Linked DNA regions of Rattus norvegicus. The protein of the gene in region 1 purifies or fractionates together with the protein of each later gene. This does not show direct contact. Links are inferred from orthologs where the notes say so. Each region holds a gene or a part of one and is shown on either strand. Other genes may lie near its edges.

Evidence for each region.
Region 2: the proteins of Vasp (region 1) and Pfn1 purify together in Homo sapiens (affinity purification with western blotting; 3 studies listed by BioGRID and IntAct, with this or other methods). This does not show direct contact. The link is inferred for Rattus norvegicus from reciprocal best matches to the Homo sapiens genes VASP and PFN1.

Annotation. Positions count from the first base shown.
Region 1 is NC_086019.1:88,050,042-88,054,610, reverse strand, and holds the start of Vasp (vasodilator-stimulated phosphoprotein), read left to right. Parts: upstream 1-1,655; 5' UTR 1,656-1,833; coding exon 1,834-1,838; intron 1,839-2,140; exon of another isoform or gene 2,141-2,157; coding exon of another isoform or gene 2,158-2,165; intron 2,166-4,569. UniProt on the Homo sapiens protein: Ena/VASP proteins are actin-associated proteins involved in a range of processes dependent on cytoskeleton remodeling and cell polarity such as axon guidance, lamellipodial and filopodial dynamics, platelet activation and cell migration.
Region 2 is NC_086028.1:55,863,605-55,868,056, forward strand, and holds Pfn1 (profilin-1), read right to left. Parts: upstream 2,984-4,452; 5' UTR 2,867-2,983; coding exon 2,735-2,866; intron 1,368-2,734; coding exon 1,175-1,367; intron 654-1,174; coding exon 556-653; 3' UTR 278-555; downstream 1-277. UniProt on the Homo sapiens protein: Binds to actin and affects the structure of the cytoskeleton. At high concentrations, profilin prevents the polymerization of actin, whereas it enhances it at low concentrations. By binding to PIP2, it inhibits the formation of IP3 and DG.

The DNA.
Region 1 (4,569 bases):
GTTCACCACAACATGAGGACCTGTATTAAAGGGTCGCAGTATTAGGAAGGTTCAGAAACCACTGTCTTCGATGGATTTGTGTGTGGTTTTGTTTTGCTGTTTTTATTGTTACGCTGCCACATCTGGCCCATTTGTGGTTTTAATTTTTAAAAAAAAATTTACTTGTATTATTTTCAGCTATATAAGTGTGTGGAGGTGGTGGGCATGCGCGTATGAACATAATGCTATAATTTCAGGCAGTTGTTAGCCCTGTGAGTGTTGGGAATTGAACTTAGGTCCTCTGCAAAAGTAGCAAGTATTTTTTTTTAACTGCTGACCCATTTCTATTTGTGTTCTTAAATATATAAGATGACATTAAAGTCACCCTGTAGCCTAGGCTGGCCTCAAACTCGAGATCCTCCTGCCTCAGCCTCCGGGTTTGTGGCAGGACAACTAGTGTACTAGATTTTTCAGTGCAGAATTAAGTGTTTGGCCTGAAGGATGAGGTTTTTGCAAGGCCAACAGGGAGCCAGCATACCATCCAGGAAACAGACTGGCCAAAGGCCACGTGGATTGATTCTCCGTAAGTTTGGGGGGGGGGACCCAAACAAGACGATCATAAGCTAAACCCATTCCCTGTCTCTGTGCCTTAGTTTCTCCATCTGTAAGTCAGGAACTGATGTTTTCTGAGAGTTAACGCCTTTTACCCTGCCAGGTGGAGCTCTACGGGAGGGGCGTGTCCGCATGATGATGTAACTCTGGGCGGGGCCTATGGGTCCCACTGCGGAAGGCTTGGAGGGAGGTTGGGCTGACTCTGCCCCGACGTGTTTGCGTGGAAGGGGCTCCAGGGAGGGTCTTCGAGCCTCTGAGCCTGCGGGATTCTTGGGACGATCCTACTATCCTCTGTGGGCAAAACTAAGCCATAGCTGGGCACGCGTGGGAAGCAGATCGGGGTCCCACCTCCAACCCTTCACTCCTAGTCTATCCTCCACCTTCTTCACCCCCGCCCCCACCCCAGCCGCGACCCGGCGGCGGTGAGTCAGCGGCCCGTCGCACCCCCTCGCTCACTTCCTCCACACCTTCCCCGGAGGGTGGGGGGCGGCGAGGGGTGGGGCCCGACCTGAGAAGAGAGATCTGGGGAACAGAGGATGTACGGAAGTGTTACTTAAAGGTGGAAATTAATGAGATCCTTTGCTTAACCAGAAGAACCCCCGCCCTCCATAAAAACTGAACAGAAGTCCACCGAGCGAGTTGGAATGGAGAACTGGCACCCCCAGATCTCTACTAAAGAATTCCATAGTAGAGACAGCTAGAGATCAAAGAATGGCCCCTTCCCTTCCAACAAGCTTCCCCCTCCAACTCGGGAGTGAGGCCCAGGGTGCACCCCCACGCCACAAGACTGAGAGGAAGGAGTGCAATTGCGGAAGACCTAGGTTCCGCGTTGCCTTTTAAACGGTCTCCATCCCCCGCCTGGAGGCGTCCACGGCCCCTTTAAGGCGCAGGGCATTGTGGGTATGGGGAGTGGAATTTTGGAACGAAATGTAGCAAAGAGAGTACAGTAGTAAGAGTAACCGCGTAGGTGCTGCCGGCTGAGGGGGTGCGCCGGCGAGGTTCGGACGCTGCACCCCGCTTTCCATCGCAGGGGATCCCAGCACATCAGAGCACCGGAGGGAGGAGGCGCCTGAGCACCCGCCCGGGCCCGGTCCACGTTCTCCCCAGGAAGCTGGACTCTATGGGGCGGGACCCCGAGAGAGACTGAGCAGAACCTGGAGCCAGCCCCGCACCCCTGCACTTCCAATCAGGGGCGCCCCGGGAGCACTCCCCGTGGGCGCGCCGCCTGCCCTCTGCGCAGCCATGAGGTGAGCCCCGAACCCTCCAGCCGGGTCCCAGCCGGGACCCGGCTTCGCGCCCCGCCTTTGTCCCCCTCCCCCCAGCTCGTTCGGGGCTGGATTTAGGGGACACAGCGCTTTGAGCGTCCCAGATCTGGGCCGATGTCTCTTGGAGCGATCTCTAAATATCGACACCCCGTTTCTCCACACTACTCCCTAAAGGCTTGGGGCGGTGCCGGCTGAGGTTCTCTTGATGGCTTTCAGGTTTAGGGGCGCTCTCGGGACTCAGAATTTGAAGACTTTTGGGGGGAGCACCTCCGAGTTCGCAGATAAGTAGAACGTCGCAGGGATGAACTGGTATAAGTGGGCTCAGAGTTACTGCCCCCAAACTCAAAACCAGGTGGGAGGCTGGCTTGAGAACCCGAGCCCTGAAACTCTGAGTCTCGGGTTGTGGTCTTCGGACCCTTGCGTCTGGGGCACTGGATGAGAGTCCCAGAGTGGAACCGCGGTCCTTAACTTTGGGGGTACTTCTTGATGTCCCAAAATTTGGTGGACACGGAGGTTCTCTGGTGGAGGGGTTCTTGAGACTCTGACCCACGGGGCCCAGAGGGTCTGGATGGGACTCTTCTCCCCTTAGGCACCCAGGTTGGGTGGGTCCTAGGACCCGGGAGCACTCCAGGCCCAGGGCGGCTCCTGGCCCCCGGGCCAGAGGACGGTTCTAGTTCCACCCCCACCCCCTAACCTGGTGGCCTGTGAGGGAGGGGGCGCGGCAGCTGGGGGAGGGGGGGCCTTTGTCTTCCTGACTCACCTGTCGAGACAGCTGGTGTGGGGGGCGGGCCCCCGAGTGAGCACTGTGGCCAGCTGCTTTTCCCCACACCACGGCCCCTCCCCTTGGGCTCAATGTCGCCGGGTGTCACCCCCCTTCCCCAAGCCGTGGGATTGGAGGAGGGGGCGCTGGAAAGCGTCAAGGTCATAGCCTTCTCCCTCAGGGACCCAGGCTTACCCGCTTCTTTCAGCTCTCTTCCCAGGAATTTAATCCTGTGGGTGAGGGGGACTCAGAGATTTTTTTTTTTTTTAATGTCTTCTCTGGGACCTGCCCTGAACTCCTGGGCTCACCTGAGGGTGGGGCCTGGGCTGGTAGAGGCCTCCCCTCCTCTCAGCCCCAGCCCCCCCATAATCTCTCCCTTGGGGCCACATCTTGACAATACTATCTCCCTTCCTCCACTTTGGCTGGGACTTCCTGCCCCAAAGCCCCTGGTTAGAGGAGGAGTCTCCTGGGGACAGTTTGGGCTTAACCCCCCATGTGCACATCCTTCAGTCTTGCCCTCTGACATCTAGGTGACATTCTTCTCTAGGGCCCTGAGCTAGGACCCCTCCCTCTTTCCCTCCCTCCCAAGTTTGTCCCTTGGCATGTGGGAGTGTTAGCGTCTGGAGCTAGAAGGGGGACATCGAGACACCCTGGAGACTTCCTGCCTGGCCTTTCCTCCCCCGTGGGAGCTCTGTCCCCCTAAAGGGGGTCAGTTCCTCCACTACCCCCCTCCTCTCTTGCTGCCCCCAGCCCCGCCCCTCCCCCACCCGTTTCCGGTCCCAGGCCCGGTGGAAGGCGGATGGCGGATGTCCGAGTTAGTGCCGCCTCACTCGCTGAGACCGTAAAAGGGCAGGAGCAACGTCTAGGCCGGCCCCTTACACCCCCACCCCCAGTCCCCGTCCTTCTGCAGCCCGTCCCCCTCTGGCTGTGGCCAGGGCCAGACCTCCCTCCCCTGAGGGTAGGCACAACTTGAACTGAAGGGTAGGCACAACTTGAACTGAACGAGCCCCCACCCTCTTAGGAGAGGGTCTCCCTCGTCCTTGGTCACTTGCTTGGCTGTGTCACTTCTCCAAGGACAGCTAGGATTCAGAGAGACACAGAGACAGACAGACCCATTCCTTATTCCTTGCTGGGTAAACTGAGCCCCACCCCCCCAGACTTTGAAGCTTGGGTCCAGTGCCCTCAGAGGTTCTTATGCTGTGGTGGGGAAGGGGGCAGGACTGGTTTGACTGGGGACAGCCCTGTGGGGAGTGGGAAGGGAGGTGGTGATTGAGATGGAAAATTACAAGATACAGTTCTTTTTCTCCCAGTTTGACAAATATTTGCCGAGTGTCTGCTGCATCCGGGAGCTGGGAAAAGGCAGAGAAGGGGTCAGAGGTCTGAGGGCTCTTGGGCAGAATTCTGAAAGCTTCACTCCTTTCCTCTTGCAATAACGCTAGCTGCGGTTGTTATTTTCTTTCCCTTTTAAGTGATGTAGCGGGTTCAGTCACACATCTTCTTTCCATTTTCATCTCCACGGCAGTTAAGGGCAATGAAAGTACAAACTTGTGCCCCTGGTCTTACCCCCACTTTACAGGTAGTAAAACTGAGGCTCAGCAATGTTAAGGAAATGGCCTGTTAAAGTTTAATGGTTTGGGAGTATGATGTGGTGACTCATGCCTGTAACGCAGTACTTAGGAGGTGAATGCAGGAGGACCAGGAGCTGGAGGCCAGCTTGGGTTATTGAGTCCCAGTTTCAAAAATGTATAAAAATCAATTTAGCGGTGGTAAGGTTTGAATTTGTACCTAGGATTGTCTAAGTCTAGTAATATTACAAAAAGAAAAAACTAGAGCTGTCTATGTTTTTTACTTACCATTACCATTCCTCCACCCACCCACCCAATAAGGTCATCTTCTGCTACTTGGCAAGTTGGAGGCCAGTCTGGGCTGCATTCTAGGCCACCCCGGACTATT
Region 2 (4,452 bases), on another chromosome or scaffold:
ACTTGTCAGGGGGACAGCCCTGGCTGCATTTGCTATGACTCAGGGAGGGGGAGCCCCACCTACACAGGATGACTCAAGTGGCCCTGCCTCACCCGCAGGCTTGGACCCATTCTCTGGTCTGGGTGGCTATGTTCCATTACATACTAATTCAACTGGACCTGAAATGGAAATAACACTATAGAGGGGCCTATGTCACATCAAGACGCAGATACATAATTGAGGTGGGTCACAGTGCCTGTCTCCAACTAATGCGAAGTGCAAACCACACAGGTCCTTGTTAGTAGAATCTTTTTTTATTCAGAAAAAAAAAAAAGAACAAAACAAAAAAAAAGTAAAACAAAAATGAAACCCAAAAACAATTTTTTCCCAAACACACACAGGAGGGGGTATGGGTAGGGGGAGGTATCTGTCCATCCAGCCCCAGCCCCCAGCCCATGTGGTTTTGGCAGCAATAAGGGAAATGGGGTAATGGCCCAAAAAATAATGGTGTGTGTGTGTATGGAAAGAAGGGGGTGCAAAAGCCAAAGGGAGCGGTGGGGGAAGGGACAGATGAGGTCAGTACTGGGAACGCCGCAGGTGAGAGGCCATTTCATAACATTTCTTGTTGATCAAACCACCGTGGACACCTTCTTTGCCCATCAGCAGGACTAGCGCTGGAGGAAAGAGAAAGGAAGCTAGGACCCAGGTGTCACAATTCAACCCAGCCAGCTGTTCAGCAGCTGTCCAGCCCCGGGGGTTGTAACCTAACCTCATTCCCTCCTCCCCTTATACACAGGCAGGCTGTCAGTCACCCTAAAACAATAGAGCTTTTCAAAGAAGAAAAAAAGCTTTAAGACTAGTAAAGAAAGAACAAAATTTAGAGGTCATAGGCTTACAGGTTGTAGACTGATGTGGCTAGGAACTGCTTCCTACCTCAGGTCTTTACAGAACTCAAGATTAGAGCCAAATGCTGACTTAAGATTCCAACAGTCTACTCCCAACAAACTAATCTCAAAAAGCTCAAAGCAAGAAGACACTTAAGAGGTAATGTAGTTTCTTTACACAATGGGGATATGGGGAGCCATCCAAGGTTCCCATATCCAGCAGAGTAAATACTGTTTTGCAGCTCTGACACACATAAAACCAAGTGACTAACAGGAAGTTAGGGATTTCAAAGCCAGCGAATCAAACTTACTCTTGGCAGTCATGGTGACAGTGACATTGAAGGTGGGGGCTCCCCCGGTGCTCTTGGTACGAAGATCCATTGTAAATTCCCCGTCTTGCAGCAGTGAGTCCCGGATCACAGAACATTTCTGGCCCCCAAGTGTCAGCCCATTCACGAAAAAACTTGACCGGTCTTTGCCTACCAGGACACCAACCTCAGCTGGCTAGAAGAATCAATCACCTCATTAAGTTAGTGCACCTGCATAACTTGTCCTCTTATGTACTGTGGAGTTGGAGGTGAAGGTGTTTCATACACACCATCAAAAGTTGGGGAAAACAGTACTGTGGGTAGTGTAGAGAACGACAATGATCCTAAACTCTATTAAATGAGTCCAAGGAAGGAAAAATATTCCTTTGAAGAATTAGATTTTCATGCTTAATAGAAAAAGCAAAGAAAGAAATGTTGGGTACCAAAAACGGATCAATGATCGAGGGGGGAGCCTTTGGATGCTCAGAACAGTCCTTCAGGAAAAGCAGAAGCGGAGAGGGGAAGGGAGGGGGTAGGAAGGGAGGAGAAGTAACTTTGTCCTTATTTGGTCAAAGGTTCTGCAGGCGTTGTTAGGAGCCGGGACTCCTGGGTCTCCCGGTGAGCTAGAGTTTAGGTCTAGGTATCTATGCCCCAAGATAAGGAAGCTGACCCCTGGGGGCTTTCTAATTAAGTTTAAAAAGTTTATAAGGGCAGGAGACTAGTCTTTTGAGTCTAGACATCCCAGAGAACCTTACTCCTTCTCCCCCTTAAACCCCAAACCCCATATCCGGTACCCTCCCGCCCGGAAATCCCCTTCCCCCCATTCGAACTTCCGCTCCCCCTCCCCACTTCCGGGCAGTGTGGTCAGGGAAGGTGGTGGCAGGGACAGCAGCAGCCTTATCCCTTCACTTTTACCGTCTCAGAACTTCTCGCAAAGTTCCCCTACTCCGAGCCCTGCCGGATGGCGGGAAGGGAGGGTGAGGGGACTTCCGGGATTGGCCTCACAGGAATGTTGAGGCTAACGTGCCGAATTGGGGGTGTGTGTGGTGGCGGCCTCGCCCTCTCTAACGGAGTTGGGAGGGGCAGGGTGCTACCGAGGTCCTGCAGGGCCCAAGGCCACGCGCCTGGCGCTCCCATCAGCATAAGGGGAAACAATGGTGGAGGGAGAGCGAGCAGTCGGCCCAAAGGGGAGTCCAAGCTCCCCAAGCCCCTTATCAATCATAATCCCAGGCTAAAATTGCAGCGCGTGCCTGCCCCGCCCTGGAGGAGGCGGAAGTGGGCCGCCGCACCGGGCGACGCGCCCCTCCCCGCCCTGTGCCCCGGATGTAACGCCCCGTCGCAGAAAGCGGGGCGGCGGGCGAGATGGGCGCCGCCGCCGATGGGCGTAGAGCTTGGGGGGCAACAGAGGGACCTAGTTTCATGCAGCCGCCATTCGCGCCGCTTCAGGAAGAGGACCGGATCACGGCCTCTCGCTGCCCTCGCTAGACTGCGCCCGCCCCCACCCAAGTCTCCCAGAGGGTCTAAGCCTGATCAATGCCCCGGACCGCACAAGCCTCGCAGTACCGTAATGCTAACGAAGGTCTTCCCGGGGACAGCGGCCCAGACGGAGGGCGAGTCCTTGTAGCCTACGATGGCCGCGTCCTGACAGGTCCCGTCCGCCATAAGGCTGTCGATGTAGGCGTTCCACCCGGCCATGGCGCTGCTGCTGGGGCTGCTCTGCGGGCTGCTGCTGGGATCGCGGGCTGGGCTCGGGCTGACGGGCGGGGGAAGGCAGAGAGCTCGGGGCACGCGCTGCCGTCCGGAACGCGGCTGTGTTAGCTGTGCAGCAGCCCTCGCACCGCCACTTCCTGCTCCTCCCCCCCCTCTAGATTTTTATTTGCAAAGGGCGGCGGGGCGGGGCCTGCTCCCCATTCCCTCCCTCCGTCCCCCCCTCTTGCCAGGCCAGATAGCGAACTTTTGCAAATGCAATTTTAAAAAGCCCTCCCCCCTTTTGCAAAATTTGCCGAGTTCGATGGAAAGCCACGCGAAAGGCTAGAGTGGTGGTGGCAAGAGAGAGGCTAAGGTTAGGGCTCGCTCCAATTCGTACGGGATACAAACCACTTTGCCGCAGAAGGAGGAAACCAGAGGAAGAAGGGGGAAAAGAGGAAAATTAGTAAAATTGAGCAAATTAAAGTGGGTTCCGGGAACCCAGGGTTAAACCGAATCATTCCTCCACCCCCCAACCCCCACCTCCGCGGGAGGGAAGGAACGGCGGGCGGCGGCGGCGCGTGCGCCCGCGCCTGCGCCGGGGCAGTGAGAAGACAGCGCGTGGGGCGGTTGGGGCTAGCGGCTTGGCTGCGCGAGCGCGCGCCTGGCAGAACAGATTTGGACCTTCGTAACCGGGAAGACGCGTCCCCAGCAGGCGGGACGGGCAGACGCCCTGGGTTTTGTGGGCTGCACCCTTCTCCACATTTTACTTAAACGATAAGGGAACAAAAGTGAAATTGACATAATACTCTAGTAATTTTCAGTACTAAAGGTCTCCAACAAGGGCACCTGTCCCAACCGTCTGCCGTGGACGCACTTGGGTTCATTCGAGCGCGTCCCTATATTCCAGAGGAATCATTCCCTTCGCTGGATCCGCTCCAGCTCAGAGCCTCGCCCCATGCCTGAACCCTGACTACAGAGGTCACTTGAATAGGGGCGCCAGCCGGGTGACAAGACGGGACTCATTTTTCAAGGCGGAAGAATACTAAAGTACCAAGAATGACAACTTTTATAAGAAGAGGAAAGTCCCCTCTACTTTGGACCCATTGGGGCTTTCTTCTTTTCCCGTAAAACTTTTGCTAAGTATTTGTGTGCGATCAGGTCACTTGCCGCCGTGCAGGTCTAGGGGGGAATGGCAGGCCAGTGAGGCTGGAGGGAGTGAAGGAATCACTCGGGACCCTAGCCTCCGAGGGGCTCGGCCGCTTCCGGTCCCTCGGAGGAGGGGCGCCGGGGTATGCAGCCTCTCCCAGTGGAGGGATTTGGTTCGCTGCCTCTCTGGAGCCGGGTTAGGCTCCCTGATGTTCATCTCAAAATTCTGGCTCCCCACGACCCCCCCCCCCAGCCCTAGTTCTTCGACAGCCGCGTGGCTGAGTCACGGGCGGGGCCGCGCTGGGGCACGTGGCGGTCTGCGCCCGCCATCCCTTGACCTCTGATCTGCGCGCCTCCCGCCCGGGGGTGAAAAAATCCTGCCGGGAGTGGCAGGATGATAAGAGGGGAGGGGCGGGACGGGGACGCGACGGCAGGTGGGGACCCTA